Linked DNA regions of Stegostoma tigrinum. The protein of the gene in region 2 purifies or fractionates together with the protein of the main gene of each other region. This does not show direct contact. Links are inferred from orthologs where the notes say so. Each region holds a gene or a part of one and is shown on either strand. Other genes may lie near its edges. The genes, in order: skia, rnf111, smad2 and ski-like protein.

Region 1 (7,817 bases), on a different chromosome or scaffold from region 2:
GATGGATATCCAAGTAATATTAAGAATCCAGAATCTTCATGGATTGATCTCCAACAGAACAGCTTCTGGAATTGCCCCTTTAAAACTTGTAGAAAATATGGTTTTGCTCATATGGCACTAATGGTACTTTATTTTCTCTTAAATGTCTATTTTCTTGCATTACTTAATCATGTTCGTTTTTGCAGATGCATATAAAACCATCCTTCGTAATGTATGAGCTTAGTTCTCAAACCTTCAATCAGATCTTTAAATCAATTTTTACACAGAAATTAGTTTTTATTACCAAAAACACTGCAACAACTTTTTTTAAACTGAACTGTTCTTTCGGAAGCATATCTCCTACAACGACTTAAGCAATGCAATCCGATATTCCTTGGCACAGGTCTTTTTTTCTGCTTACTAAACTGTCTGTAATTGCCCAGGTAATATGTACAGTATTACAATAGGAACAAAAAAATCCAAAAGCGCGAGGGATTGAATAGGTACATTGACGATTTTGCTGTTTGACTTTCAATGTGCCGAGTATGCCTCATCGGCTTTTTAAAATTCGCAACAATTGATGCAAATGAACTGTTGAGCGTTTCCTTTTCAATTCAGTCAAGAGGTAGCCAAGGTTCACGGCCGTAACCTTTACCCACGCACAAAGAACAATCAATGCACTGTCTGCTATCTTCTCTTTGGAAATCAGAATGAAATGGGGTGGGATGGGTGCTGTTAGAGGAGAAAAATATAAAAATACAAACTTGTTTCATTTTTGGATGAACTATGGAATGAAATCCGAATTGATAGGTAAATAACGCACTTTGAGGTAGGAAAGTTTGTGATCTTTCCCGGCTTTTGAAGCGCAACATTATGGTAGCGTAGCTTCTTGAACAGTTTAGTTTTATAATTTGGAATAGATTGTCTGGACAGATTCAGTTTTTATTCTTAAATCGCGTCTATGTTTCCAATTGAAACGTTAGCAAACCTAAGTACAGCTATGATCATGTTGAAATCTAGTTTGAGTATAGAACGGATTAAACAGCTTCCCCAGTTTGCCTTTCGGCATTAAATCTCCTCAAGATCTGCTAAATTGATGTGGATTGGATAAAACACTGCCCTACACAGGCCATGCCTTGGCAGTTGTTCACAGAGTCAGCTCTCTCCATACAAATGCACATCTCACAAAACCACTCCCACATATTAGTGAGCAACGAAGCACACACCCTTGTCTGAAACTATCACATTGAACAGCCCAGTCAACTTAATGCTTCAACTTAGCACGTCATTATTTATAATGGGAAACGATTAAAATACATACACCTTCAAGTATTTAATGTATCATACATGATTTTAAAACCTCTCCGCCAAGTGAAGGGAAAGTACGTTGAGAAAGAGGTTCAAACACATAATTTCCACAAATTTAAAGAGAAACAAACTTCCAGAAACTGTTTATAGTACCATTACACCGGCATATACAGTATCGATACCTATGAAACCGAGAATTAATGATTTAACCTTTATTAAAGAATTGAGTTTATTGCGTTCAGTTCTGAGTCATGTTTGTAGTGCCTATTATTGACATTGAGAAACAAGTTAAAATATTAACCTTAATGTATTAAAAGCTCTGTACCGTAAACAGTTAACTTATAATCTATAAAAAAACTATGCGTCTTAAGTTCTAAAAACGCTCACCCTCGGTGCTTTTCTTTTGTATTTGTTGCTGTAGTCAAATCTTTCTTTCATTTCATCCAGTAATTGTTCCAATCGTGCCTTCTCCTCTTTTGCCGTGTAATCCTGACTCAAAAGGACATAGGCTCTCCAGTTGGCCGAATCGAAACCCCAATGGCAGGTTCTGTTTTCCAATGATTTGTGCGAGTGTACTACGAATTTGTGAGGAGGATACATCAGCCTACAGTCCATGCATTGGATACATGCAGCATGAGGATTACCGTACAATTCAGGCACAAAGAGTCCCTTGCACTTTCCAAAACACTCATGGTATACTTTGAAGCTTTTCTCTGTGATCTCTAACTCAATGGTGCTTGAGTATTCTTTTTTGCAATGGGGTGGGTAAGTTCCTCCATAGAGTAAGGCATTGCAAAGCCTCTCTGCGTCTGTCTTAGTAATTAAGCCACAAGATGGGGCAGAGAAGGGCAAGATCCCCATGACTTTCAAAATCTCCAGCTGGTCTGCCGTGCATCGAGAGCAGTAAATATGTAATTCATCGCATACCGAATTGATCTGTTGAAGGGAAAAATCTCTAAGGACGGAGTTCAGAATTTGAGGCAAGCAAAGCCTCTTCTCCCCACCAACCACGAAACAAGAAATGGTTTCCCCCTCCAGAATAGTCTCACATCTCTCCGTTGATCGGTCCGATGGGATGAAAAGGGGTCCTGGCATGACAGGAGGGGGCTGTATGGGTAGGTGAATAATCTGATCTGTTTCCTTCCCAGTTTCCTTTTTGTACATCATCTCGTGAGCCCATCGAGCAGAGAAAGCTGCGGGTCCTCCAAGCGAACTCATACTGCTGAGATGAAACTGCTTTAAGGTTTGTTGGAGTCCTGGGTGAGGCTGAAAACTAGATCTTGGTACAGTCTCCATGATTTTTGGCCCTAAAAAGCACACCCGTTTTGTATAAAATCAACTGAATCCTTTAAAAAGCCACGGCGTCCAAGTTTATCCCACCACCGCGTACAATATTAAAGTAGCTCATGAAATCCAGTCTCTAAGCGTGTTGTGTTTCTGCAGCACTCTTACGTTCAAACATATCCACAATCGTGCCCTTAAAAAGATCTTCAAGCAAATGCTGGTTAAACCAGTCCTTCGAAATCCAGTCCCCAATTGGTTTTAGACTGTACTTTGTTTCTTTTTTCTTCTTTTCAATCCTCTTTTACGATCTACAAGCGTAAAGACGCGGCACATCCACACAATACGACCTTGCAGCTCAGACTGTCTTCTCCCCTCTGTTTGTCGGCGTCTAGGTCAGGCATTGAATCTCAGCCAAGAATGCGTCTGACTCCCCCAGGGCTCTTCCAGGAACCAGCACACTGCCCACCGATTTCAACAGCAGGCTACAAACATGCAACAATTGGTTTCACAAACCAATAGCTTTTCAAACTGCCACGCGGAAGGGAGAGATTTTTTTCCAAAGTTCACTAGAAACCATTAATAACCGGGATTGGTCGCTGGCAGCTTCTTCTACAAAACACGTTCTGTGGTTTACAGATCGTCAGTTTGATCTAGTATAACGTAAGCGGGAGGGGTTTTTTGTCGTAAGCTGGACAATTCTACAATAAGTATTACTGTAACCTTGCGTTAATGAATAATTTTAAGAAATGCAATACACAGAACTCCATTTGTTTTGTTTTTAACATTATAAACTTTTGTTCTTTTTACATTATAAACCTTGCATGTACCAACTGTCTTGGTAAACTTTTGGTTTAGTGATATTTAATAGCAATCTGAGTTCCAAGTCAGATAAAAATTTTTTCTGAGGAAGGGTCCAGACCCGAAACATCAGCTTTCCTGCTCCTCTGATGCTGCCTGGCCTGCTGTGTTCATCCAGCTCTACACCTTGTTATCTCAGATAAATGTGGGTTCAACTTTCCAGAATTTCAACACAAAAGCTCGACACGCTTCTTCAATGCTGAAGCTTGATGTGCTGTCATAGGTGCTGACTTTTGGATGAGATGCTGGAATGAGCCCCCACCTGTCCTTTCAGTGGTGGTAAAAGATCGCTTTGCATTATATGAAAAGCAGGAAACTTATTCCTGGCCCATATTATGTCTCAATTAACATCACATTTGATGAAGAATCGCCAGATTTGAAGTGTTAATTCTGCTGTCATCCTACAGATGCTGCCAGACCTGCTGAGTTTCTCCAGCAATTTCTGTTTTTGGCACAAAATGTATTATTCTGGTCATTATCATTCAAAATACAGGTAGTTCATTGGCTGTAAAAGACTTTAACTTATCTGGTATTGTGAAGGTGCTATATAAATGTAAATCTTCTCATCTAACAGTTGTGTAATGTTGGGACAAACTCCAATTGAGTGTTGTCATTAAGATAACAAGGTGTAGAGCTGGATGAACACAGCAGGCCAAGCAGCATCAGAGGAGCAGGAATGTTGACGTTTTGGGCCGAGACCCTTCTTACTATCTCTTGAGTATTGTCATTTATCACTTCCCAGAATTATACTAGACAAATGACAGTGCCACAGTCAATGTATAATGTACACATGTTGTATAGGTGTAGTGAAATTTAACTCTAATGTAATTAAAGTTTGAATAAATTGCTGCAATTTGCCATCTTTGAATATATTTTCTTAATTATAGTGACTGTACCAATCTTTATGTTATCAGGCAATAATGCAGGAAGCGATAGGTGCAATTTTCAGTCTTTGCTGAATTAGTGAAATTCATCCAGCACAGTAAAATCCTCATTCCACAATCAACCAAAGCCTTACTCCTTAATTCCTTTTCGGTCATCTGGGTGTCTAATACAAGCAGAATCCAATCACAGTACTTCAGGATCAGAAGTCAATGAAAAATCAACAAGATACTGCTCTCTGTTTACTCAATTTAGAGTACGCACTCTTACTTGAATAGATATGCCTGACTTAGCCAAGACCAGAAAGTTTAGATCATTATGACAAGTGCTTAGAAATTTCCATCTGTGAACAGCATATTAGAATTCAACTAGCTAAATAATAACTTGAGAAATAGCATTAGATCTAGGTCATTCAGACTTTTGAGCCTGCTTCACTGCTTAATAAGATCATGGCCGATTTAATCTGCCCTTAACTCCACTCACTTGGCTGACTCCCATAACCTTTAACTCCCTTGTCTGTCCAAAATCTGTCTAACTCAATTTTGAACATTATTAAATTAGCCAGCTTTATCAGTTAACGGAGAAAAAAATTCCATAAACAAAACCCCATTCTCTGAGAGAAAAGAATCACATCCCTGTCTTAAGTGGGATGCCTCTTATAATTAAACTGTGTTTTGGACATGCTCAAGAGCATCAAGTTCCGAGAAGTGATGATCATCAACATCTGACCTTGTCCACCCATGTTGATACAACCGTCAAGAAAGCACAAAAACGCCTCAACTTCCTCAGGAGGCTCAGGAAATTCAGCATGTCTGTAAAAACTCTTATCAGTTTTTATAGATGCACCATAGAAAGCATTCTAACCAGATGAATCATGGCTTGGTATATGGCAACTTCTCCGCCTAGGACTCCAAGAAACTACAGAGAGTTGTGAACACAGCCCAGTCCATCATGCAAGCAAACCTTCCATTTATTGACTCCACCCATACCTCTCACTGCCTCGGAAAGACAGCCAACATAATCAAGGACCTCCCACCCCGGTTATAATCTCTTCCAACCTCTTCCATCAGGCAGAAGATACAAAAGCTTAAACATGTACCACAAGATTCAAGAACAACTTCTTCCTCACTGTTATTAGACTGCACTCAAAACAAAACTTTTCACTGTATCTAGGTACATGTGACAATAATAAATCAAGTTAAATCAAATCCTCATTCTAGCTTCCACCAGTGGAGGAAGCATTCTCCCAGAATCCACCCTGATAAACTGTCTCAGAATCTTATGTTTTTTGATAAAATCTATTCTCATTCTCCTAATTGCCATGGGAATTAACATAACTTGGTAGACTTGCTCTTTTAAAACAAATCCTTCATCCTAGGAATTAGTCAACTGAACCACCTCTAAACAGATTTCAATGCAAATGTGTCCCTTCTTAACTCAGGTGACCAGAACTGTACACAGTATTCTAAATGTGTCCCCATCAATGACTTCAGCAGTTGTATCAAGACATCCCTACATTTGTACACCAGCCTCCTTGCATTAAATGCCAGCATTTGTTTACCTTCCCAATTACTTACCATACCTGCATGCTGATGTTTTTGTGATTCATGTGCAAGGAGACCCAGCTCCCTGTGCTTTGCAGAATCCTGTTGCCTCTCTCCAAGTAGACTTTGAGATGAGCATGCAGCACTCCTGTCGTAGTTAGGTAGCTCCAACAATTGTAGGTCACCATATATATTTTTAATCAAAAATTGGAAAGAGCTTATCATGCATGCTAGTCCCAGTTGCACCAGGCATTGAATGCTATAATCAGTTATTCTTGAGGGGATCACTGCAAGATGTGACTGAAGTTGCAAGTTTCTTGTTTCTTAAAAAAAATTGTGGGTCCAGGAGGAGCAATACAACACCCTGCCTATCAAAACTCTTTCAAAATGCTATAATCTCTTCCCCTGCTCTTGGGACTTGTCATTCTGTTCAGTGCAGTAGCTGTTCCACTTTCCATCATTCAAATTGACAAGCTGCAGTATATTTTAAAGCATAATAAAGTTTCTTCTGCTCTGCACCCCAACCTCCACTTCTATAGAGTGCAACCTTTTCTCAATTACCCTTTTTGTACTTTCACGCTGTAGTTTCTCAGTGAAATTCCTGAATAGGAACAGTTTTGTTGATGTGTTCAATAAGGTATTCAACAAGGTTTCACATTGTAGAAGGATGAATCCACGTGGATTACAGGGAGATCTTGCCATTTGGATACAGAACTGGCTCAAATGTAGGAGACAAAGAATGGTGGTAGAAGGTTGCTTTTCAGACCGGAGGTCTATGACCAGCAGTGTGCCAGAAGGATCAGTGCTGTGTTCATGGCTTTTTGTCATTCATGTAAATAATTTGGATGTGAACGTAGGAGGTATGGTTAGGAAGTTTGCAGGTGACACCAAAATTAGTGGTGTAATGGAAAGCTAAGAAGTTTACCTCAAAGTACAATGGGCCTTGATCAGATAGGCTGATGAGCCGAGGAGTGGCAGTTGGAGTTTAATTTAGACAAATGCGAGGTGTTGCATTTTGGAAAGGCAAATCGGGGCAGGACTTATATACTGAATGGTGAGGTCCTGGAGATTGTTGCCGAGTAAGTATATTGAGCCTTTGTATAACGAAATTGTACAAGCATTTTTAAAAACATTTTAATTACTTTTTTAAAATCAATTTACTTTCTTCCACTGTCAGAAGCATTGACTCCCATTGGATACAGATTTAATTCCCTTATCACCTAATTAATTCATACTCTGAGTTTACACAGTCAGAATAAGTAGACTATTTAGTCATGGGAGCACACCATAAGCAAGTCAATTCTTATTCCTTGCTCACATCCATACATCGACTATTCAGGAGGCTCATTGAATAGCAACCAGAAGTGAGAACCGATCTGATATTCACTTTCCTAATTCAGGGATGCTGCCATCTGATGAAGATTAACTAACTCAAGATGTATTGTGTATTCAATTTGGTGTATTTAATTTGAATACTTCGTCTGCATGCTGCCTTTCAAGCTGAAACGTGTTTTCATTATAAGTGATCAACATAGCTTTTTTCCCAATCAATTACATAGACACTGGCATTAAAACAGGTGTCATAATGTTCTTTAAAACAATAATTGCAGACAAAAGAACTTAGGCCCAAAGCCAAATTTTGGATGTGCATTGTTTCTTAGCAATTTGAAGATATTCTTAGTTGCATTTCTTAATGGTTTCCCCTATCTGCTTTATGTGGGGTCGTGGGGAAGGAATGTAAAAAACTTGAAATCACAAAAGAAGGAAGGGGGGTCTCATTAAAAATTAAAACTGCAAATAATTCCTGTGTTTTTATTTGCAGCACAGTTGTGTAGCATCATGAGTTGGAGGCTACAACTTTATACAGAAGGGAACTTCAGCACATGCTACAAATTCTACTAAAGACAATGAATGTCATCAGCACTGCAATTGTGACATATATTCTATTGAAAAGTACTCTTA
Region 2 (7,648 bases):
TTGGTGCCTGTTAAAATGAGTGTTTGTCCCTCCGTCTCCTCTCCCCATCCAAGTGAGAACAGGATGCAATCAGATGTGCAGCATACACAGGGCAGTCCCAAACTGTGTGCAATAACTTGTAGGCACCCAGCCACTGTTCTCCATATTAAAGGCTGTGGCTTTTAAAGACTGATGGCTCCCAATTACATTATATTTTGGTAGAAAATCCTAACAGGCCTGCTCTTAGTGGAAGAACAAGACATTATTCAACATCTGAATTATTGCAGTCATTATTCTGACACAAATGTTAATTTAGAAAGTTGATTATTCAATCTCTCCTCAGATTGCTCAAACCAGTGATAAAATGCAGACTGATAAAGGAAGTTGATGCGATTGCACGAATGGACAACTGGTGCTTGCAATCTGGCAGTGGCTATTGCTCTGCTTCACTGCACCCTGTACTTTGGGAGCAATTTTTACTGCATCATTAGATGTACATTCAGAATCCCTCATATGTAACGACTCTAACAAAAATACACATTCACAAGTATGCAAATAATCCAGCGTGAAAATAAAGAACAACTCCAACCTTTGTCTTGGCAGACCGGGCTGGTGAAAACAATGATAGACCAACCGCTTGCCCTAACTGGAATCTACAATCAAGCCAGTCAAGCAAGATCCTATGATTCACTGAGAAGTTACAGCACCGAAACAGGTCATTGTCAACATTTCCATACGGGTGTTTGTGCTTCACATTAGCCTCATTTAACCTCAACTGCCTGTTCTTCTATTCCTTTGTCCTTCATACACTCAGCTAAAGGCATCTACAATATTAACCAAAAATCCTTGCCAATTATAAGTGTCAAGACAGGGATTAGACAACTTGGCTCAAAATAATTGTTGTTGGGCTAGCTTAACAAAACAGAGCTCGGGAGCATTTGATTAAACAAACATTAAACAAAACTACTGGATATCAAATTAAAGCAGGAGTGTTACAAACAACATGTCAGTCAACAAGTGGAAAAATACACATTTCCCAAAACTTGGACACAAGGCAGAAAGCAGCTCTGATGAAATATCTCACCAAAAGTACTAAGCTAACTTTTCTTTTGAAGATACTGAAGGTAATAAAAAGTCATTCTAGTATTGTCTGATCAGGGACTTCACAAAAAGTCAACAATAATAAAAAAAGCTTGAAGGCAGATTTAGATCAAAACTTAAGTGCAACTTTGAAAGCTTTATTTTATTCCACTTCTGTAAAGAGCTTCAAAATTTATAGATTCAAACTCTATGATTCAAAGTCCATATTGAAACAAGACAGTTAAACAACTGAAAATAAAAATTGGATCTCTTCAAGTAACCACTTAAGTATTCAAAATACCACACAGTTGCAACATCCATGCCAAAACCAAATTCTACCTGACAAAAAAAATCATTGAAACAAACACAAAACCGTGTGTGAAACATTTGCTTCAGCAGTTTTTTTTTTAAACAACAGATTGGTTTACCGAAGGCCACAAATAAACATATGACATAGCTTTTCTGATGAAGGGTCTAGGCCCAAAATGTCAGCTTTTGTGCTCCTAAGATGCTGCTTGGTCTGCTGTGTTCATCCAGCTCTACACTTTTGTTATCTCAGATTCTCCAGCATCTGCAGTTCTCATTATCTTTGATATCACATGGTGCTGTGTGGCACACAGGCCAAACAAATTTCAGATTTTAATGCAAACAAACTTAATTTTCTGTTACCCATTATATCCTACTAAAAAGCTGTACATATAGTACTTCAACATCAAACCATGTCACAATTCCCCTGGGTTGTGACCTGCTTCCTCCTCTGAAAATAGTATAAATATTACTGTTCATACACAGAACTACATCACACACAAAATTAACTGATTGCTAATTATAAATATTTTGTTCTTCATCTCATAAAGGACATAAACCTACCTTACAGTCACAATAAATATTAGTGATGACAAATTAAACTTAGAAACAATCCTGTTATTGACAGTACAATCAAAAATTTAAACTGGACCTGAGAAGCACTTCTGTACTTTCTTTGAGGTTCAACTCTGACTCTAAAACCCAAACTGTTCTTTGTAAAGTATTTTAAAAAGTTTTTTTTCATAGGGTAGACACTTCAAAGTATAAAATGAGAAAAATGTTCAAAGCAAAAAAAATTTTTAAAAAAACACAAGAACATGTTGAATGTCAAGCTTTGACAGACTAATTTGAAGTATGCACTAGAATAATCACGGGCAACACCAAACTAAAACTGATACCTTCCATCGTCAAACCTTGGCTGTGGTGTTAAAATTAGTATATAAGGCAAATGCAGACAGAAATCACCCTCCAAACACCTTTCTCCTCCTCTATACGGTACACTGCAGGGTTCTCAATCAATCAACAGACATTCAATTGCTGTTGAGAATCCGACATCGCTCCCCGGCAACCACCAGCTGGATACCTAAATTTTACTACGCCTTGAAAAATGCAAAAAATATTGTAAGATTTATCTAATGATCAGTTACGATTCAAACTTCTGCAACACCCCCCCCCCCCCTTTCCTATTCTGTAAATTCTGTTGAGGAGTTGTTGATGTTGTTGGGAAGGCGGGGGGATCACTCTCAAACATCTAAACGTCAGCAGCTCGAAAGGCGCTCACCAGGCCAGGTCTTCATCACGACTTTTTTTAAAAGAAAACGGTCGCGAATGGAGAGAAGATTGCGGGGAGGAGTCGGGGGGAGTGAATTAAAATTAAAGAGGATAGACATTTTTTACACTTCCAAATATTGGCGAATAATTTCGGAAAAGAGCTTACCGAAGCTTTTCTGTAAGGTGCTGGCCGCCTCGCATTATTTCCACAAGGCCTTATTCAGATATTTCTGGGAGGATTTTAAGCCTCTTGTTTACAGAAACCCCCAAACGACGAAGCTTCGCTGCTCAGCCCGGGGTTGCTCAATGCATCGGACGGGGCAGCTCCACCTTCACGACACGGCCCGCATCTGCTTTGCGGCCTCCCTTCCTTTCCACGACACAGCCCGCATCTGCTTTGCGGCTTCCTTTCCTTTCCACGACACAGACCGCCCTTTACTTTCCGGCGCTTGACGGCTGCATCGCGCACGCTTTACGGCACCGGCTTTGTTTGCCGTTCCCAAAACGTCAATGGTACGAAAAGGAGCACGTTTGCCTCTAAGTTTGTCGCCTGTGGGATGGTGAAATCGGACCCGCCTGCACCGCTGGTTTATCGCCAGGGGTCTTCCGACTTCCCACAACACGATTTTAGGAAAATAGGGAAATTCCGGCGCATGCGTAATTTTTCCAGTTTCTACCATAACAAATGCCCTGCCTTTGTATAGCGCCTACTAATAATGCTCTTAAAAATCCTGGGTGTTTGGTGCGAACATAAACGATATAAAGATTACAAAGATAATAGGGACCGCCGATGCTGGAGAGTCTGAGATAACACGGTGTAAAGCTGGATGAACACAGGAGGTCAAAGCAGCAGGAAAGTTTGACGTTCGGGACCTCGATTATAAAGATTAAGCGGCCCAAGGAGATTTTGGTTGTTGATTCCGAAGAAAGATCACTGGACACGAAACGTAACGTTTCCTTTCGCTCCGCAGATGCTACCAGACCTGTTGAGTTTTTTCAACTTATGTTTTTTGGTTGTTGAGCATTGATTACAATTAAAGAAAGGTTGAGGAAGTCATTTTTAAATCGTTTCAACGTTTCGATTAAGTCATTGAAGTGTTTTTTTCCCTCATTCGTGACCATCCACGACACCACTAAATGTTGGAAATACTCAACATTTTTAAGAGGGCAAGCAAGGAGGCAACACAGAGAAATTTGACGCATCGTGTTTCTCAAATTATCTTCAGAATCGTTTAATTGAAAATGGTTTGTGAAACATTTATAGTTAAGAAGCCTGGTGCTCAAAGTGCCTTTCGTGCTTTCATTTAGTGATAATCTGCGTTCCCGCTCTAACTCCACAACACGCTATTCCCGCCGCAAAGCAGGCTACCACCGCGCTCCAGCAGCCATCCGGGTCCTTGGCCATCCGGGCATGTGGGGTGGGGGTGGGACAATGCCATCCGTGCTCCCGTCACGGTTGGAATCCCTGACGGATGAGGGCTGGGCTAGGTATCCGGGGCGGACTTCGGCTGAGTCTCCTTCCCGGGGGGGTGGTGGAGCTTGGTCATCCGGGCTCCTGTTGGGGGTGGAGCTACGCCGCTCGAGCTGCTGCTTGCTCCGTGAAGACGCCTGAAATGGCTGCCGCTCCTAGTCCGAATGAAGCTCGGCGCATCACAGACTTGCGTGTCGTAGATCTTAAATCCGAACTCAAGCGGCGGAATCTCGACATTAGTGGCGTTAAAACCGTTCTGATCGCCAGGTTAAAACAGGTGTGAGAAATCACCAAAGTCAAGGAGAGGGAAGGAAGTCGGCGCTGGGGTTTACCGCCGTCACCTTTAGGCCTCGGATGAAGCCTAACCCACTTTGCTCTGCGCAAATTTTAATGGCTGCTTCGGCGCTCACTGGGTTAAATGTCTTGCTGACCGGTGACAAATAAATCTTTGCGAATTAAATATTCACTGCATGGTAAAAGTGCTTGAGATCTTGATTAAAAGATCCTTTGCCTTTTGTTGGTTTTCAGTATGATTAAACGTGCGAAAAGACTGCTTTTTAATCCAATGAACGTTTAATTGACGCCTTTTAGTTGTTGATAGCTTTTACTTTTTTAAAGAAACACAACCAAAAGCTACCCACTTTCTGATTCTCATGATCTGTGAAGTTGAATGAATAAACACTTGAAGTGGTATGCTTTATTTCATAACTTTTGTTGAAAATTTATAACCTGGAGCCGTTAAATAAATTAATCTTCTTCTTTGACTACCAAATAGTATTTTGTTCATTCATTGGGGTGCTTTTTATTGGGTAAGCAAAGATAAATAAAATTCACGTTGGTTGGTTTCCAAGTCGGACATTTGCACTGGATTTGTTACATAGTTAACGCGCAGAATTTTATTTTGGGTGTTTTAAGAAAATCACAGGGTTGAAGCCCAATATTTACCTTTAAGACTAACCAGTTGCAGTGAAAACCTTTTAGTTGACGCTATTTGATTGTAAAGTATAAGCATTTATAACATGTCATGTCCATTTTCAGAAATATGCAACTTTTCCTCATTTAGTTTCAATTCTTAATATTATTTTTCAACGAGTTGATTGAGTTTTTGGGAAAAGAAAACTTGCATTTGTTGCTACCAAAACAGGTAATAGAAGAGGAGGGAGGCGATCCTGATAACGTGCAGCTCTTTTCGGATACGCCTTCAAAGAAAACACCTAAAAGCAAAGGTATCCCACCTTTCTTAATTTGTTGTGTATGATTTTGTAACAAAGGGTTAACTTTATTAATATACTTTCTGTTTTTAACCAAAATGTAAATACTGAACTTGGTGATGGAGAAATAATGAAACAACCTGAAGGTCCCAAACATCTGCCCTTTTTAGTTGATGTCAATTATGGATTTGAGAGGTGCTGCTGAAAACTTGAATGACCTGACAAAGGAGTTAGATATTTAGGTTGTTGGGTGAAATGCAAATTTTGTAGGCTACTTAACCTTAGATGGTGTTGAGTGGCATCTGTGACATTTCTGTCAAGTTGGGAGTGTTGCATTGTGCTCTAATCATTTGATTTTAGGGAGCGCAAAGACTTTAACAATTCATTAGGTGAGCTATTCTGCCTGGACTATTGAAATTCTGATCTGCCTTGCGGCTTATTAACGGTGATTGTCTTTTCTAGAGATGTTAATGGTCAGAGTCGAAGACAATGTTATCGAGGAGATTAGGGAGATACAGGCTATTAGACTAGATGGGATTGAGGTTCACAAGGAGATGGTGTTAGTAATTCTGGAAGGTTTAAAAATTGATAAGTCCCCTGGGCCGGATGGGATGTATCCTAGGATTCTCTGGGAAGCTAGGGAGGGGATTGCATTAGAAGATTAGGCTTTATTGGTAGAGGGATTGAATTTTGGAGCCATGAGGTCATGTTGCAGCTGTACAAAACTCTGGTGTGGCCGCACTTGGAGTATTGCGTACAATTCTGGTCGCTGTATTATAGGAAGGATGTGGAAGCATTGGAAAGGATGCAGGGAAGATTTACCAGGATGTTGCCTGGTACGGAGGGAAGGTCTTATGAGGAACGGCTGAGGGACTTGATGTTTGGGACTTGATGTTTTCGATACAGAGAAGAAGTTTAAGAGGTGACCAAATAGAGACATACAAGATGATCAGAGGATTAGATAGGATGGATGGTGAGAGCCTTTTTCCCTGGATGGCTAGTATGAGGGGGCATAGCTTTAAATTGAGGGGTGATAGATTTCGGACAGATGTCAGAGGTAGGTTCTTTACTCAGACAGAAGTAAGGGTGTGGAATGCCCTGCCTGCAACAGTAGTAGACTCGCCAAGGACGTTTAAATGGTCATTGGATAAACATATGGAGGATAATGGAATAGTGTCGGTTAGATGGGCTTCAGTTTGGTTTAAACAATAGTAGGCCATTCGGCCCTTCAAACCAGCACCACCATTCATTATGATCATGGCTGATCATCCACAATCAGTATCCTGTTCCTGCCTTATCCCCATAACCCTTGATTCCAATATCTTTAAGATCTCTATCTATCTCTTTCTTGAAACTACCCAGAGACTTGGCCTCCACTACCTTCTGGGGCAGAGCATTCCATATATAGGTCAGTGCAACATTGAGGGCTGAAGGGCCTGTACTGTGCTTTAGTGTTCTGTGTTCTCGAGTCTTCATGATATGGCCACTCAATGCATACTCTTGTTGGCTTGTGTACTTAGCTTAAGTCTGCATGTTCTGCAGTTTGTCAGTGCACTGCTTAATTATGAAGGTTTGAACGGAACTGAACACCAATAAATAAACATTGAAGCAGGTGAGGACACTTGGAACTGAGGCACGAGGCTACTGATTGCTTACAGCAAGGTTCTTGAGCTGACGTGATGTCCCTTCCGACAACCACACTTACACTTGTGCTTGATGTGACTCAAGTTGTTGAAATCTTTCTCCGCTGATCCCTTTGGAATTTTAGTTTAATTCAGATTTCTTGATGTTTTGCTTAATTAGGCAATATCTGTCAGCCCTGCCATTCAGTAAGATTCATTCTGTTTCTGTCTGCCAACCCACTGTTCCCATAACTCTTGACTCTCGGGGTGACAAAAACTATTATCTAACTCAATCAACTCAATTCAATCTTGAATGTACTTTGACCTAGCCTGACTTTTCATAATTCCAAGACTCTCAGAAACAATGGTTTGTTTTCTTTTTTAAATGGGCAATCCCTCATTTTTGAATTCATGTTCCTGAGTTCTAGATTCCTATGCACAGGGACATATCTCCTCATCTATCGTGTCAACCTCCTGAGAATATTATGTTATCCAATACAGTAGAGCACAGGAAAAGGCCCTTTGGCCTGTGTTTCAGTAAGACAGACTCTCAATTTAATCAACTCCATCAAGTACAGGTACAGCCTGTTCAAACTTTTCTCTTAACCACCTTAATCCCAGGAACCACTCTTGAATGCTGCGTTGATTTTAAGAGCTATTACTGTCAGCTCACCCCTGCAATTCAGCTTGTGTTTCATGTTCAGAGT
Region 3 (7,901 bases), on a different chromosome or scaffold from region 2:
GTTGTTAAATTGACTCATTCTGTAACGCATTGCTTGAAAGTATGATGGAAGCTGACTTAAGTTTTCAAAAGAAATTGAATAAATACTTGAAATACAAAAGTATGCTGGAATTTATGGGGGGAGAAAAGACAAGAAACTAACTTTTGATAGCTTTCACAAATCATGTACAGATATGATGGGCCAAATGGCCTCATGATTCTAGAAACAGCAAAATATTCAATACACAGAAATAAAATTAAATTTACACTATTAGAGGTCTGATTCACATTTGCCAGTGAACTCCTATTGGCAGAACTAGCCAACTTTAAAATATTACTAGCTATACAACCATAAATAAATCCATCCCATTTCCACGTAGATCGAACTGGTGTAAAATTTATAGATCAATGCTAAAGATGAGCTTTGGACATTTGCACCAAACTGGAATACACACTCAAGATGCATATTAAATAATGCTGGAACTTGGTTCTTACCCAAACCTGTTGGACACAGTCAGCATTAAATAAATTACATGAATACATTAAAAAGGAAAGATAATTTAGGCTAATAAATCATTTGGGTTTTTCGCCACTTTTCCATAATGGGAAAACACAATGCTGGAAATGCATAAATAACTTCATCAGTATTCAAATATGTAAAAACAGGCCATTAACAGGGACATAACTTGTTTTTGTTTGAAGATCTCCAACATTATCCATTTGCATCAGATACTGAGGATTTTCAGTATCTTCTGCTAATGCTGTAATTATCCAATGATTCTGTTCAGCTTACAGTTCAAATTTTGAGTTGTTACAAATTAGAACAATTGAAGATTCTGTTCCAGGAAATAAAAACTCACGACATTCCAGGAGTCTACAATAAATTTCTACAAGAACACAGGCAGGTTTTTAAATGGAAATGCTCCACAACATGTGATGAATTAAAAAATGGAATGACTATTAACTAAAAAGGTCATTGTTTTTCCTCTCAGTTATTAACTAGGCTACCAGCCTAAATGACTCAGAACTAAACTGCAGAAAGGGACTGCAGTTATAATATATTCACTATGTCTTCTGTGCCCCTTATTTGGGCGAGAAAACGATAGCATGCCAAGATAAACACAATAGTTCCATCATTTTGGCTCAGATGAATAAACATTTCTTATTTCCGCTAGGGGATCAGATGTGAATTTCAGGAAAAAGAGCCCTTCTTTATTTTTGCCATGGCATTTAAGAAAGTGCATCCATTTTAAAAGGGAAAAAAGTTGAGCACAAAAAACAAATTCTGTAAAAATATTTTAATGGAATCTCAAAACATTTGTTTCAAGAAACTATCCACTAAAGAAATCAGATTAAAATCATCCTAATGACAGCTACTTACATCCTGCATGCGCTTCTCCGTATAAAATGGAAAAAAGTTAACCACATTCGTAACTATTGCTACCGAAGAGGCAAAAACAGTGGTATGGAAATACTGCCACCTCCAAGTACTACCATTCTAACAGACATAATCAAAATACTGAAGTTTCCTATCAAACACCTTCATGAAACCATCACTGTAAGGAGCACTTTCTCGAGGCAACACAGACTGATAAGAAATGCAACTTTAACAATATGCCAAAAAAGGAAAACCCTGATTTCCCCCTAACAATGTTTTATATAAAAAGTTCTAATATCAAATCCAAAGCATTAACCAGGGGCTTGAGTCTGTACTTGAGCAGAAAACACTAACCTTCAACAAACAGTAATAACAACTTATTTTTATGCTAACTGAAGATAAAAAAAGTTTCTGAAAAAAGGGTCCCGACCCAAAACGTCAAGCTTTCCTGCTCCTCTGATGCTGCTTGGCCTGCCGTGTTCATCCAGCTTCACACCATGTTATCACAAAAATTACAAATTTATCCAAACCAGTATGCTGTTCAATGGAATAAAACTGTCCCTTTTTATCATCAAGAAAATTATTATGGTTTTTGAACAAAGCTACATTAATGAAGTTACAACCTAAAATTACAAAGTTAATACACATTTCTAAAAATCTAAATACACATCAACCAAGTGTCAAGTATTACCAATGTTTATAATTAGCAGAAACTGGAACAAAATATTTCCCTCAGATTCCGAAAATAAAAAAAGTGAAACAATCGTGCATTTGGCCACAGGGCCTACGGATACACTCGTTGGTAAATAATCGAGTTGACTTTTAAAATAACAAAGATAAACTTGTCCCAAAAAAAGTGTATCATTAAAATGTAACAACTTAACCTGGCTGCACAGTTTAGGAAGAGAGGTTTGGCAGAAGCTAGGCGTTCCTTACCTGGGGATGGTCACGCACTTGGTGTTGCAGCTCTGGGTGGTGATGGCCTTCTCCAGCTCGTCCAGCTGGCCCGTCTTCTTCAGCTTCTTCACCAGGCTCTTGACGGCTTTCTCGCACCATTTGTCGTCCTGCCCGTTGTTCTGCTGCTGCTGTTGTTGCTGCTGCTGCTGCTGCGGCGGCGGCGGCGCCTGCGACGGAGACTGAGAAGACGGAGACTGCGACTCGCCGCCTTTCTTCCAGCCCAGCAAACGCTTGACGATGGGCGGCGTGAAGGGCAAGATCGACATGGTTCGAGCCAGGAATGGGGAGTGGGAATGGGGGGGCGGGGGCGTGGGGGTATAGGGCGACGGTGGGTGGGAGGGAGGGGGAAAAATGAGAAAGGTAAAGAAGAAGAGGAAAATAACAATAAAAGGGGCTAACTGAGGCTGGAAAAGGAGGGGAAGAAAACGGCAATCACGATTCAAAATTTCACACAATTGTGCCTCGCGTTGCTCGCTAACCGCCGCTTATCAACCGAGACGATTCGAGAGAAAATAAATCAAAATTGCCCTCAAAAAATGTCGTTAGCCTTCTGGGTAATTTATTATTAATTCTCACATCCTCCCCTGAGGAGATTTTATTTTATTTTTTCTCTCCCTCGCTCCCCGCTGGCCTCTTCGCTCCCTTTTTCTTTGATTGACGGAGAAAAACGATTAAACAGCCTCCCCCCGACCGCTCTCTCCACCTGGAAATCCCACCCCCAGCGCTCGCGCGTCCCCCACTCTCATTGGCCCGCCTGCCCCAGACGCCCCGCCATTCGGCCACATACCGCGCGCCTATTGGACAGAATCCCCCGTCAATCAATCCAACAGTGCGCGGGGAACGTCCGGTTAACAGGTTTGGTTGATGCCTCAGCAAAACTTTTTTCCTCCCTTTCTTTGGGGAAGGAGGGGGAAGGCAAAACGATCAAGGGGTGTGTTCCTCCACTTGAAATAGTTCCAGCGGTTACGTTCAAACTAATCACCTTTTTCGATGCGGAAAGGACTTGAATTGAAAGCTGGAAATCCATTTTTTTTGCTAATATAAATCCAAACGTTGTTAAATTGGCCTATCAGTTAAAGTTACCTATTATATGAGCTTATTATTCAAAATGCCCTTTGGGTGTATTCTTCCGCCGGCTCACTCCTATCTGCTGGATTTTCAATGCAAGGAAGAACAGTTTGAATTTTCTCATCAGCTTTCTACTTTGTGTTAGAATTGCTTAGTTATCATGTACACTAATTGGAGCATCTTCCAACTTGATATATTCTGGGATGGCTACTATTAGCGTGAAACACATGCAGTTTGAACATTTGGTTTTTGTATTGATATTGTTTAGTATCCAGGCTTCAGTGCTTTTGAAATCCTAGATATCAAAAGAGTTGAAAATTAAACAGACTGGTGGGCATTTTGCTTGCAGCCTTGAACCTATCTCCTCAGCACCACCGTCAAAAAAGTCCAACCTTAAAACTCCAATTATCTCATTGTTTTATGAATGGTAAAGGGCTGAAAACTATTTTAAGTATGTGGCAATAATTGTGTTTCAAAACTAGATTAACAAGCCATTTCTTGTCTTGATCTGATCTGAACCCCTACATCTGCCACCGTTATGTTACATATTTATGAATAATTTTGTATAAATCATGAGTCCCTACAGTGTGAAAACATCCCCTTCTGCCAACAAATCCACACTGACCCTCAACATCCCACCCAGACACATCCCCCTATAACACACCTAATCTATACATCCTTGAACATTATGGGCAATTTAGCACGGCCAATCCACCTAGCCTGCACATCTTCGGACTGTGGGAGGAAACCGGAGCACCCAGAGGACACCCACGCAGACACGGGGAGAATGTGCAAACTCCACACAGACAGTCGCTCAAGCTTGGGATCAAACCTGGGTCCCTGGTGCTATGAAGCGGCAGTGCTAACCACCAAGTCGCCCCTATGTATATGCAATATTTTTTCACATTTTCTATCACATGCAAATTAGGAACAGAGTAGACCATTTGGCCCCTCGAACCAATGCTCCACTGTTAAAGAAGATTCTAGCTGATCTGTTTGTTTGAATTCTACACTTCCCTCTAACCCAATAACTTTCATTCCCTTGCTTCCAACTTCAAATTGTTTGATGACCCAAACAATTATCTTCTGAGGCAGAATGTTCCCAACCCACGCACAAACTTAACAGTAAACAATTTACGCCCCAAAAGGCATTTCTTAATTTTCAAACAGTACCCGTTAATTCTGTGCTCAACCATAGGCTCGAAGCGTCAGCCTTCCTGCTTGTCTGATGTTGCTTGGTCTGCTGTGTTGATCCCACTCTGCATCTTGTTATCTCATATCCTCTTCATAGCCACCTTTAAGGATCTTGTAGACTTCAACAAAGACTTTCCTAAACTCCAGTAGAAACAAACCCAGACTGTACAACATTTCCTTAGAGGGCAACCTGTTCATACCTCAACTAAACACTTCCAATGCTTTACATCCTTGGGTAAAGAAACCATAGTTTTCCAGAAGTGGTCTCACCAATGCCCTAGTATTCTAGTTTTATGTTCAATTGCTTTTGTAATAAAGGATAGCAGTCTATTAGCCTTAATAATTGGGATATCTGCATCACCATCGGCAGTCCTTCGCAGATGAGAATGACACTTCCATTGTCAGGGTGAGTCCATAGGTGGCTGTACAAATCAATTTGACTATCATAGGCTCTGTTACATTTGGGGCAGGTAGTGCTCACGAGAAACTGGTGTGGCAGAACAGTCCTTGCGCTGTTTTCGCCTGCCTCCCAATTTTTCCCAATGGCAAGTCTCAATGCCTTCTTGATGCCTTCCTGGATGAACCTCCTTCACTTTGGACAGTCTTGGTCTCTGTGGGAATGCTGTACTTCATCAGTGAGGCGTGAGGGTAATACTGAGGCACTTCCTCAGTGCATGTGGTGCTTGCCTGCTGTTTGAAAGCTGGGAGTAGAGCACCTGCTTGGGGAGTCTCATTTTGGTCATGTGGATGACATATCCAACCCATTGTAACCAACCAAAGATAGTAAGTGCCTTGACACTGGGAATGTTGGCCTGGTCAATGAAGCTGGTGTTGCGTCTTTCTTCCCAGCAGATTCACAGGATCTTGCACAGGCCGCATCGGTGGTACTGCTCCAGTGCCTGGAAGTGCCTTGGTTTTTTTTTGAAAGTTGGAATAGTAGGGACGGCATGAAGGGGTGGAGTCAAGATCCTGCAGAACCAGGATTTTAGTTTAAGCTTTCAACAGTTGCTGGGTTTTTGAAGCTGGATGTGGAAGCTATTCTCTCCCTGTTACTGCAATAAGCTGGGGTTCTCTTCTTGCCTTGCTAGAATTGCATGCAAGACAATCTATTTTACTGAATTTGCCTTTGCCAAGGATATGTTTATTGAATGGTACTGTATTGGAACAGTCACTGTTTACAAGTTAAATAATCTATTATTCTATTAAGCTTTCCAATAGAGTTAAGCTCCAAAAAACAATGCAACAGCTTATAAAATAGTAATTACTGCTCCAAACGTGCAAGGAAACCAGTTCCAATCCTGAAAATACCTCAAAAAAAAGGAGCAGCTCTTACAACCATAATTTTTCCCCTTCTTCCATTTTGGATTGCCTAGGATCCTTTTTGGAGGGTTTGAGCTACAGGGAGAGGCTGAATAGGCTGGGGCTATTTTCCCAAGAGTGTCAGAGGCTCAGGTGTGACATTATAGAAGTTTATAAAATCATGAAGGACATAGATGGGGTGAATGGTCAAGGTCTTTTCCCCAGGATAGGGGAGTCTAAAATTAGAGGGCACAGTTTTAAGTGAGAGGAGAAAAAATTAAAAGGGACCTAAGGGGCTGTTTTTCCACACAGAGGGTGGTGATGTATGGAATGAACTGCCAGAGGTAGTGGTAGAAGCTTCTACAATTCCAACATTTAAAAGGCATTTGGATGGGTATATGAATAAGAAGGGTTCAAAGAAATTTGGGCCAAATGCTGGCAAATGGGTCTAGACTAATTTCGGAAATCTGGCCAGTGTTGACGAGTTGGACTGAAGGGTCTGTTTCCATGCTCAGCTGTTGTATGATTCTCTGACTCTAAGTTATTCCAATTTTTTTTTGTTTGCATTTTACTAAATGTAAAAATAAAGTGTGTTCTGCTTCAAGCTTGGTAGTTGACCAATTGATTTGTAGCCAGGACTCAACACCTTACACCTGCCTTTAAAAATAAGAAAAAGTTGAAGCCCAAACTATCTTAAATGTTTTTGAGGCGAGTTTGTCTGGACCATAAAATTAGCTGTAACTTCTTTAATGATAACACCTTGACCATGGCAGATATCAAGCTAACTTGTCAATGGTTTCCTGTTTTCTACCTCTCTTCCTTCTTGAATACATGGGTTATATTTGTTGCTCTCCATTCTGACAGAATCTTCCCAGAATCTAGGAAACTTTGGAGAATTAACACCAACACATTTTTTTTATTCACTTGTGAGACACGGGTGTCAATGACTGAGCCAGCATTTATTGCCTGTCCTTAGTTGCCCTTGAGAAGGTGGTGGTGAGCTGACATCTGGTGCACTGCAGCCCGTTCACTGTTGATAGACCCACAATGGCGTTAGGGAGAGAACTCTAGGGCTTTAACCTAGTGACATTTGAAGGAACTGTGATATATTTCCAAGTCAGAATGCTGAGTGGCTTGAAGGGGAACTTGTAAGTGGTGATGTTCCCATTACTTGCTGCTCTTCTCCTTCTAGAAATGGATGGTTCTGGGTTTTCGAAGGCACTATCTAAGGAGCTTTGGCGAATTACTACAATGTATTTGTAGATGGCACTCTGCTATATCTCACCATCATTGGTGGAATGACTGAATGTTTGTGGATGTGATGCCAGCCAAGTAGGTTGCTTTGTAGACAAACAGGAGGCTGGAAGAACACAGCAGGCCACGCAGCATCTGGCGGAAAGGAGCAGTCAACATTTTGGGTATTACCATTCTTCAGGTTGCTTTGTCCTGGATGGTGTCAAGCAGCTTGAGTATTGTTGGTGTTGCACTCATCCAGGAATCTGAGCAGTATTCCATCACACTCCTGACTTGTGCCTTGTAGATGGTGACAGACTTTGGGGAGTCAGGAGGTGAGTTCCTTGCCACAGTATTCCTAGCCTCTGTCCTGCTATTGTAGCCACTGTATTTATCTGGTATCTGCAGCTCAGTTTCTGGTCAATGGTAACCCCCAGGATGTTGATAGTGGATTATTCGGTGTTGGTGATGCCACTGAATGTCAAGGGACAATAGTTAGATTATCTCTTTTGGAGATGGTCACTGCCTGACAATTGTGTGTCTTTGGAACTCTTTGCCACTTTTCAGCCCAAGCCCAGATATTGTCCAGGTCTTTTTGCATTTGAATATAGACTGCTTCAGTACCTGAGGAGCCACATTTTTTAAAAAAATTGTGTGATGTGGGCATCACTGGCTGGCCAGTCTTTATTGGAACATAGAACAATACAGCGCAGAACAGGCCCTTTGGCCCTCGATGTTGCGCCGACCTGTGGACTAATCTAAGCCCCTCCCCCTACACTATCCCATCATCATTC
Region 4 (7,734 bases), on a different chromosome or scaffold from region 2:
CTTTCATGTCACACTATATACTCCTATTATGTCTAAATCCCAAAGACAACAGGGTACTTACAATTACACCAGAGTGATACTGTGTTTTCTATTTTCTAAACCAGAAGCTGTGGTCTTAGGAAGATTGTCAGTCAATGTAAAATTATGGCCAGTTTTGTATTGGAGGCTCATCTGGAACTGGAGTGAGACTTTTTTCACTTGCAACCATTTAGGCAACGAGTAGAGATGACATTTTTTTTGGTCCCATCAGTCCGGTTGAATTTGAATGATTTCTCAGATGTCAAAATCACTACATTTAAGCCAATGCACCACTCACCCCATACAAAACACAGATTTAAGATATCTTGGAAAAAAGAAAGGTCTCACATTAACTATCTCAACTGTTTAGGCATCTCAGTATTCAACAGCCAACGTAGTATCCAGTATTAAAATGCAGGGTATCTACCACATACAGGAATTAAATTCATGCCAGATCATTTGTTTTCACTGAGGTTGGTCGAGAGGTAAGTATTGACCAGGAAATATTTGTTCACAGAAACATATCATCAGCAAAATTCTCCTTCAAGTGAAAAATGGAACTTACCTTTGGAAGCAGTCTTTTTCGCTGGTTATTGAGGTTGAATCTGTCTTTCATTTCTTCCAAACATTGCTGTAAGAACTTTTCTTCAGATGTTTCTGCATATTTACGGCTCAGTTGCACATAGCAGCGCCATTTAGCTGAATCAAAGCCCCAGTGGCAGGTTCTCTTGTCTGGAGACCTGTGCGAATGCAGGACAAACTTCTGGGGTGAAAACATCATGTGGCAGTCCAGACACTGAATGCAGGTAGCATCAGGGTGACTGTATAACTGCGGCACGAACAGACCTTGACATTTCCCAAGACACCAATGTTCTACTTCAAAACTGGAACCAGTGCTCTGTAACTGGGCAAGGCATGTTTTGCCAGGGAGTTTGTTGGCATCTGGAGGCAGTATGCCTGCATGAACCAAGGCATTACATAACCTCTGTGCATCAGTCTGTGTTATAAGTCCGCAAGAGGGAGCATTGAAAGGCAAGATGCCTAGGACTTTGAGAATTTGTAGCTGTTCTGCCGTACATCTTGAGCAATAAATATACAGCTCATCACAGACAGTGTTGATCTGTTGAAGAGAGAAATCTCGCAGAACTGAATTTAGGACCTGTGGCAAACACAGCCTCTTCTCCCCACCAACCATGAAGCAGGAGATAGTTTCTCCTTCCAATAAAGTATGCGTGAGCTCAGTTGAACTGTCTGAGGGTATAAGCAATGGTCCTGGCAGCACAGGGGGTGATGTCATGGGCATTAGCCCCCCTGGCGACATACACTCTTGAGTACAACGTGCCGAAAATGCTGCTGGCCCACCCAGAGAGCTCTGACTGCTCAAGTGAAACTGAGCCAATGTGTGTTTGAGAGCAGGGTTAAGATCCAATGGACGAACTCCTGACAACAGGCAAGCTTTGGGCACACACACATCTGTGTGCGCTGTCTCCTCCACTCCAAGGCCCTGTCCACTTTCTAGCTTTACTCCTGGGGCTCTGAGCATATGTGTAATTCTACCATCAAACTCCTTTTCCACGTTGCTTCGTTCTCCCACTCCGTCATATACTGGCTCCTTTTTTACAATCACTTCACCCAAGTTAACTCCATCCATCACTCTCATAGCTCCTTGTACACTTGTCATGGCTACTGGGAAACGTACCAGTTTTTTTTCCCCCAATTTATATATCCAGGCACAACTTTAGATTAAATGACTGTCGCCTACAAAATTAGCACACGATGGTCGTCGTGCATTTCAATACATTCTGGTCACATATCATTGGTAGAAATTAGAATGTTGTGAACAATGTCTTAAGTCTCTATATCACCAAGCTAATCAAGGCAAAATCCGAATTTCGACTGATTCCACATTTGCACATCCCAGCCAAATTAATCCCACCACAGTGCCGGGTTGTACAGTCCGATTCCGCTGCCAATACTCAGACGAGTAACGAAAACCACACACACAAACACGATCTGCTCAGCAGGTGGCGAACCAACCTTCTACTCGTTTGAAATTTCTCAGCACTGATTTGGTCATTCGCCAGATGGGAGGAAATACACCTTCTAACCAGAAAAACACTTGGATCCAAACCACTATTTCACGTGGGATGTGCCAAAGACACGGCAAATCGTCCGTACTTCTGTCTTCCTAATTTAAATTTCTTTTCTTTCTCGCGACTGAATTTAACACATTGTCGATCCAAGGCACGCCTGGTGCGACTCACTGAAGACTGGCATGAAGCCCCTTACTTTGGGAGAGTGAACGAGAGAAATAAAAATCGGGAGGCGTCGCTACCCTCTCCTCGATGAAACGACGATTCTCTCTCCCACCCTACTTCGGCTCCTTTGCAGCAACGTGGAGGGAGGGCCTGCTGACTGAAATCTTGCCTCCCCCAGGGAGTGGGGGCGGGGGGAGGACAGCCTGTTTCTTGAGATCGACGGCGGCTTCTCTAATCCAAAAGCAGGTTGGAAATGTAAATGAAGTGGGGGAGGGGGGTTAAAAAGGAGAGAGGGAGTCCTGGCGACTGAGGACTGACAGTTCCAGACTCCAGGCCGCTTTCAATTTAATATCCCCTCACATGTATCTCTGAGTTGTATGTATAATTATATAACCACTGTATGTCAATGATTACACAGTCCCAGTGCCGGATGGGTTGGTGCTTGCTGACAGGCCGAGCGCTCCGCTTCGCTGTCCCGGGGACCTGTCAAATACTCGGAACCCCCTCCTCTTCCCAGAGGCCTTCCTTCCTTCCGCCTCTTCCCACACCCGCACAATTCTCCCGCTTTTGTTACTCGCAGTGCTCCTCAAGGCGTCTTTGACAATCCTCACCTCCCCGGGGACCGGCTGTGTGACAAAGACAGACAGACTGTCGTGCCCCGTCTATCTGTCTGTCTGTCTCCCTCGCTTCGCCGCGGAGCACCGCCGCACAGAAAGCATCGACGTCACCGCCGCCCACTCAGGAAACGCCGACGTCACGCAGCCGGCGAGACGGAGCGCTGACTCACAGTCTCCGACCCTGAACGCCCGGTCACCTGACCACATTGCCCTTAAAGGGACACCCCGACTGCAAAGAATGCAGGTAAATTATTATCTGTTGACACAGTGGCGTCCTTCACCACTTCTGGAAATCCCAAAGAACCTTCGCAATCACTCAAATGATTTTTTTAAAATTTATTCTGAAAGATTGCTAGTCCAGTGATATTACCATTACCTCCCTAAAAACATATTACATGTAATATAACCACCCAGTCAGTATTATGTAATAAATCTTTAATCTTTATTTCAAGACTATAGCCTTCTTCTACAGAAAAGCTTGAGTGGTCATCCTCTCCCACTTGTTTTTTAAAATCTGGGACTAATCCAACAAAGAAAGATTAGTGGCAGTGAATGCACCAAAGTAAACCAATGGTTCCAGTGGACAATCACAATTATAAGATACAGCCAGTGTTCATCTGGGGACGTAGCTTAGCCACATAATTATAAAACCATCCACCCAGCAACTCGCTCAAGCACTACTTACTCCACATGTGGAAGAGGCTTTGGGAGAAGATGGTGGCTTAGTGCTAGGGGAGACTAGTAAATAAAGAGAATGATTCTCTGTTGGGATGATTCTAATAGCATGGGCAGAATGTAGATTCAGTTCACAAAATCTGGAATTGAAAGGTAGTATTAGTAACAATGACTGTGAGACCATCAGCAATTACAGAAAAAACCCATCTTGTTCATTAATGTGCTTCAGGGAGGGAAATCTGCTATCCTTAACTGGCCTGACTTACATGTGACTCCAGATGCACAGCAATGAAATTGAATCTTACTTTCTCTCTGAAATGATCTGGGAAGCCATTCAATTTGAGGGCAGTTAGGGATGGGAAGCAAATGCTGACCTTGCCCCTGATGTCCGCACCCACGCAAAAGTAAAAAAATGTCTGCAATATCCATTGAAACAAAATGGAAGCAAAACATCCTCAATTTCATGGGCCTGCCTACAGAGAAAAGGTATGTTTTTTAACGCATGATTAATCTTCCACTGACCAATTTGACCATTTCCTCCAAACCAAAAAGGTGAGAGAGGATGGTACAGTCCAATACATACCCATTTGAGATTACTGACTGGTTTTGATCCTATTCCCAGGATGACCATAAAGATGAGCTACAGCTGGTAACGCACATAGTGAAGAAACAGAGGTTCTTTATAAGGTAAGGACAAACAAGTGCGTAAAACCATCTGAAGGGATGAAGAAACAAACTAAGATTTTGAAATAAGTTGAACTTTAGGTCATAACCTCAGCCTTCATCTTTTTCTGCTCAGTGCTGCTAGACTGAGATATTTTTTTCCTGCACCCTTTCTTTTTATATTATTTATTATTATGGTACATAATGTCTACTGGTTCAGTGATTTCTACAGTACTACTAAATTGAATCTGCCAAGCTCCACCCATTGACTGACTATAGTGAGCTTGGTGAAAGATGGGTCCTGATCTGAACCTGAATAACCATTAATAGTTCAGGCATGCATTTTTTCATGGTTAAAGTCAGTTAATTCAGTTGGTTAGATGGCTAGGATGTGGTACAGAAAGACACCAACAGCATGGATCTGTACCAGCTGTGGTATTCGTGGAGTTTCATTTGCCTGAATTTCAACATGATATGAAGTTTTCCCTGGAGTGTTGGAGGCTGAAGGATGATCTTACAGAGGTTTATAAAATCAAGAGAGGCATGAGTAGGCTGAATAGCCAAGGTCTTTCTCCCAGGGTAGGGGTGTCCAAAACTAGAGGGCAATAGGTTTCAGGTAAAAGGGGAAAGATTTGAAAGGTAACTAAGGGACAAGATTTTCACAAGAGTATGGAATGAGCTGCCAGAGGAAGTGGTAGAAGTGGGTACGATTACAACATTTAAAAGGCCACCGGATGGGTACATGAATAGGAAGGGTTAGAGGGATATGGTTCAAGTGCAGGTAGGTAGAATTAGTTTAGCTTGGAAACATGATAGGCATGAACTGATTGGACCAAAGGGTCTGTTTTCCATACCGTACCACGCTATGACTCTCTTATTGTAGGAGTAGAAGCATTTAGAGGGATATGTGCCAAATGCTGACATATAGGACTAAATCAGTTTGCATGGATGAATTGGACTGAAAGGTCTGTTTCTGTGCTGTGTAACTCGATGATACGATGATGTCCCTCAAGCTTAACCAATTGTCTCTTTCTAATGGAGAGAGAGATTCTTACTGTCCTTCATAGACTACAGCTAATAACCAATTAGTCATTACTATTCATTTGAGGACTACTTTGTGAACTGGTAATATGGTTTGCCCGAACACAGTTTGTCATCAAGGGTCTATCCACAGAAAACAGGACCATTTTACCAAAGGAGAAATCTGATAATGACCAGAAAATTTGTTTTAAGGTATTGATTTGAGAGATAAATGTATGGAAGAATTCTAAATAATGCCCTGAAATCTTTAAGATGAAGAAATTCAGCAGGATGGCAGCATCTATGGAGGGAGTTAATGTTTCAAGATAAATATGAATCGTATTTTCAGAACTAAACCGAAGTATTTTCCACCAGTTCTCAGGATGTGGGAAACTCTGGCGGGTCCACAGTATGACCAGTTATTCAGAAGCTTGACAGTCAACCACATGCTGCGGTGTTAGAGTTACATTGAGAATACAGCTCCCTTATCACAAAAACATTGGGCTTTATAATGTGCAGTATTCATTGTCATTATACCTGATGCTAGCTCACAGATTTACTTGCATAGATTAACTGAAACTGTGCTGTTAGGATTGAACTCTCGGCCTCAGGGCTGTTAATCTTTTACAATCACACTGTCATTTTATACCTTAATTTACTCCTATGTTCTGAATTGAATATATATATGATGGGTTTCTGACATCGCAAAGCTTCCAAAGGTGTCAGACAGCCAGTTAACTATCCTAAAAAATTGCCTGTGTCTTCACAGTTATATCAAACTGACTGAGTCTCTTATCAGAGAAACAAAGTCATCGTCTTACAAACATGTATATGACTCTGACCTCAAAACCCTTCTGGCAGTACAGACTCAATGCTTCTGTTTTTGTGTTTTTCACTTGTGGGATTTAGGCATTGCCGGCTGGCCAGCATTTATTGCCCAGAGATAGTAAGAACTGCAGCTGCTGGTGTCAGAGATAACAGTGTAGAGCTGGAGGAACACTACATTTACTGCCCATTCCTATATGTGCTTGAGAAGGTGGAGGTAAGATGCCTTTTTGAACTGCTGTCGTCCATGTGCTGTAGTTTGAGTCACAATACCCTTAGGGAGGGAATTCCACGATTTTTGCCCCAATAACAGTGAAGTAACCATGATATATTTGCCAAAATGGATGGTGAGCGGCTCGGAGGGGAAGTTGCAGATGGTGACTTTCCCACGTCTCTTCTGCCCTTTGAGATGCAAATCGTCATGGGCTTGGAAAGTGCAGTCTAAGGATCATTGATAGATTTCTGCAGTGCATCTTGTAGATAATACGCACTGCTGCTACTAAGCGTCAGTGTGGAATGAGTGGATACTTGTGGATGTGGAGCCAGTCAACCTATCTGCTTTGTCCTGGAAGGTATGAAGCTTCTTCGGTGTTGTTAGAGCTGCACTCATCCAGGCCAGTGGGGTGTATCCCATTGCACTCCTGACTTGTGTCTTGTAAATAGTAGACAGGCTGTGCGGAGTCAGGAAGTCAGTTACTCACTACAGCATTCCTAACTTTGGACCTGCTGGGGTGGCCATTGTGTTTATGTGGCAAGTCCACTTGAGTTTCTGGTCAATGGTAATCCCAAGATGTTGACAGGGGGTGTTTAAATGATGGTAACACAATTGTAGGTCAAGGGTGGTGATTTTATCAACTCTTATTGGAGATGGTTATTGCCTGGCATAAGTTTTTCTTGCCACTTGTCTGCCCAAGCCTGGATATTATCCAGGTCTTGTTGCGTTTGAACATGGACCATTTCATTGTCTGAGGAATCGTGAATGGTGCTGAACATTGTGCAATTAGTGGCATGCATCCCTACTTCTGACCTTATGAGGGAGTGAAGGTCATGATGAAGCAGCGGGAGATGATTGGGCCTAGGATACTAGCCTAAGGAAGTCCTGCAGCGACGCCCTGGAGATTAGGTGACTGAGTTCCAATGACCACAAAAATCTTCCTATATGCCAGGAATGAGTCCAACCAGTCGAGAGATTACCCCTGATACCAATTAATTTCACTTTTGCTACAGCTCCATGATATCACACTGGGTCAAATGCAGCCTTGATGTCATGGTATGTCACTCCCACCTCACCTCTGGCTATGTTTGAATGAAGGCTGGCCCTGGTGGATTCCAAATCATCAGTGAGCAGGTTACTGCTGAACAGACGCTGCTGGATAGCATTGTTGATGACACCTTTCAACATTTTACTGATGATCAAGAGTAGACTGATTGAGGGTAATTGGGTTAGTTTTGTCCTCCTTTTTGTACACAAGACATACCTGGGCAATTTTGCACATTGTGATGGAACAACTTAGCTTGAGAAGCAACAAATTCTGAAACACGTGTTAAGGGCTCAGAGGCTCCAACTCAAGATTTGCATCACCGTGGTATCTGTGTGGAGCTGGAGGAACACAGCAGGTCAGGCAGCATCAGAGGAGCAAGAAAGTCAATATTTCAGG

What was found.
Region 1: the proteins of rnf111 (region 2) and skia purify together in Homo sapiens (affinity purification with western blotting, with the first as the bait; 3 studies listed by BioGRID). This does not show direct contact. The link is inferred for Stegostoma tigrinum from reciprocal best matches to the Homo sapiens genes RNF111 and SKI.
Region 3: the proteins of rnf111 (region 2) and smad2 purify together in Homo sapiens (affinity purification with western blotting, with the first as the bait; 3 studies listed by BioGRID). This does not show direct contact. The link is inferred for Stegostoma tigrinum from reciprocal best matches to the Homo sapiens genes RNF111 and SMAD2.
Region 4: the proteins of rnf111 (region 2) and ski-like protein purify together in Homo sapiens (affinity purification with western blotting; 3 studies listed by BioGRID). This does not show direct contact. The link is inferred for Stegostoma tigrinum from reciprocal best matches to the Homo sapiens genes RNF111 and SKIL.

Annotation. Positions count from the first base shown.
Region 1 is NC_081381.1:23,171,942-23,179,758, reverse strand, and holds the start of skia (v-ski avian sarcoma viral oncogene homolog a), read right to left. Parts: upstream 3,016-7,817; 5' UTR 2,584-3,015; coding exon 1,675-2,583; intron 1-1,674. UniProt on the Homo sapiens protein: May play a role in terminal differentiation of skeletal muscle cells but not in the determination of cells to the myogenic lineage. Functions as a repressor of TGF-beta signaling.
Region 2 is NC_081386.1:17,460,400-17,468,047, reverse strand, and holds the start of rnf111 (E3 ubiquitin-protein ligase Arkadia), read right to left. Parts: upstream 3,008-7,648; 5' UTR 2,804-3,007; intron 1-2,803. Other genes in the region: sltm (SAFB-like transcription modulator), read left to right, coding at 4,110-4,385, 5,253-5,334. UniProt on the Homo sapiens protein: E3 ubiquitin-protein ligase. Required for mesoderm patterning during embryonic development. Acts as an enhancer of the transcriptional responses of the SMAD2/SMAD3 effectors, which are activated downstream of BMP.
Region 3 is NC_081354.1:160,634,302-160,642,202, reverse strand, and holds the start of smad2 (mothers against decapentaplegic homolog 2), read right to left. Parts: upstream 3,010-7,901; 5' UTR 2,580-3,009; coding exon 2,293-2,579; intron 1-2,292. UniProt on the Homo sapiens protein: Receptor-regulated SMAD (R-SMAD) that is an intracellular signal transducer and transcriptional modulator activated by TGF-beta (transforming growth factor) and activin type 1 receptor kinases.
Region 4 is NC_081367.1:61,088,252-61,095,985, reverse strand, and holds the start of ski-like protein, read right to left. Parts: upstream 3,013-7,734; 5' UTR 1,700-3,012; coding exon 584-1,699; intron 1-583. UniProt on the Homo sapiens protein: May have regulatory role in cell division or differentiation in response to extracellular signals.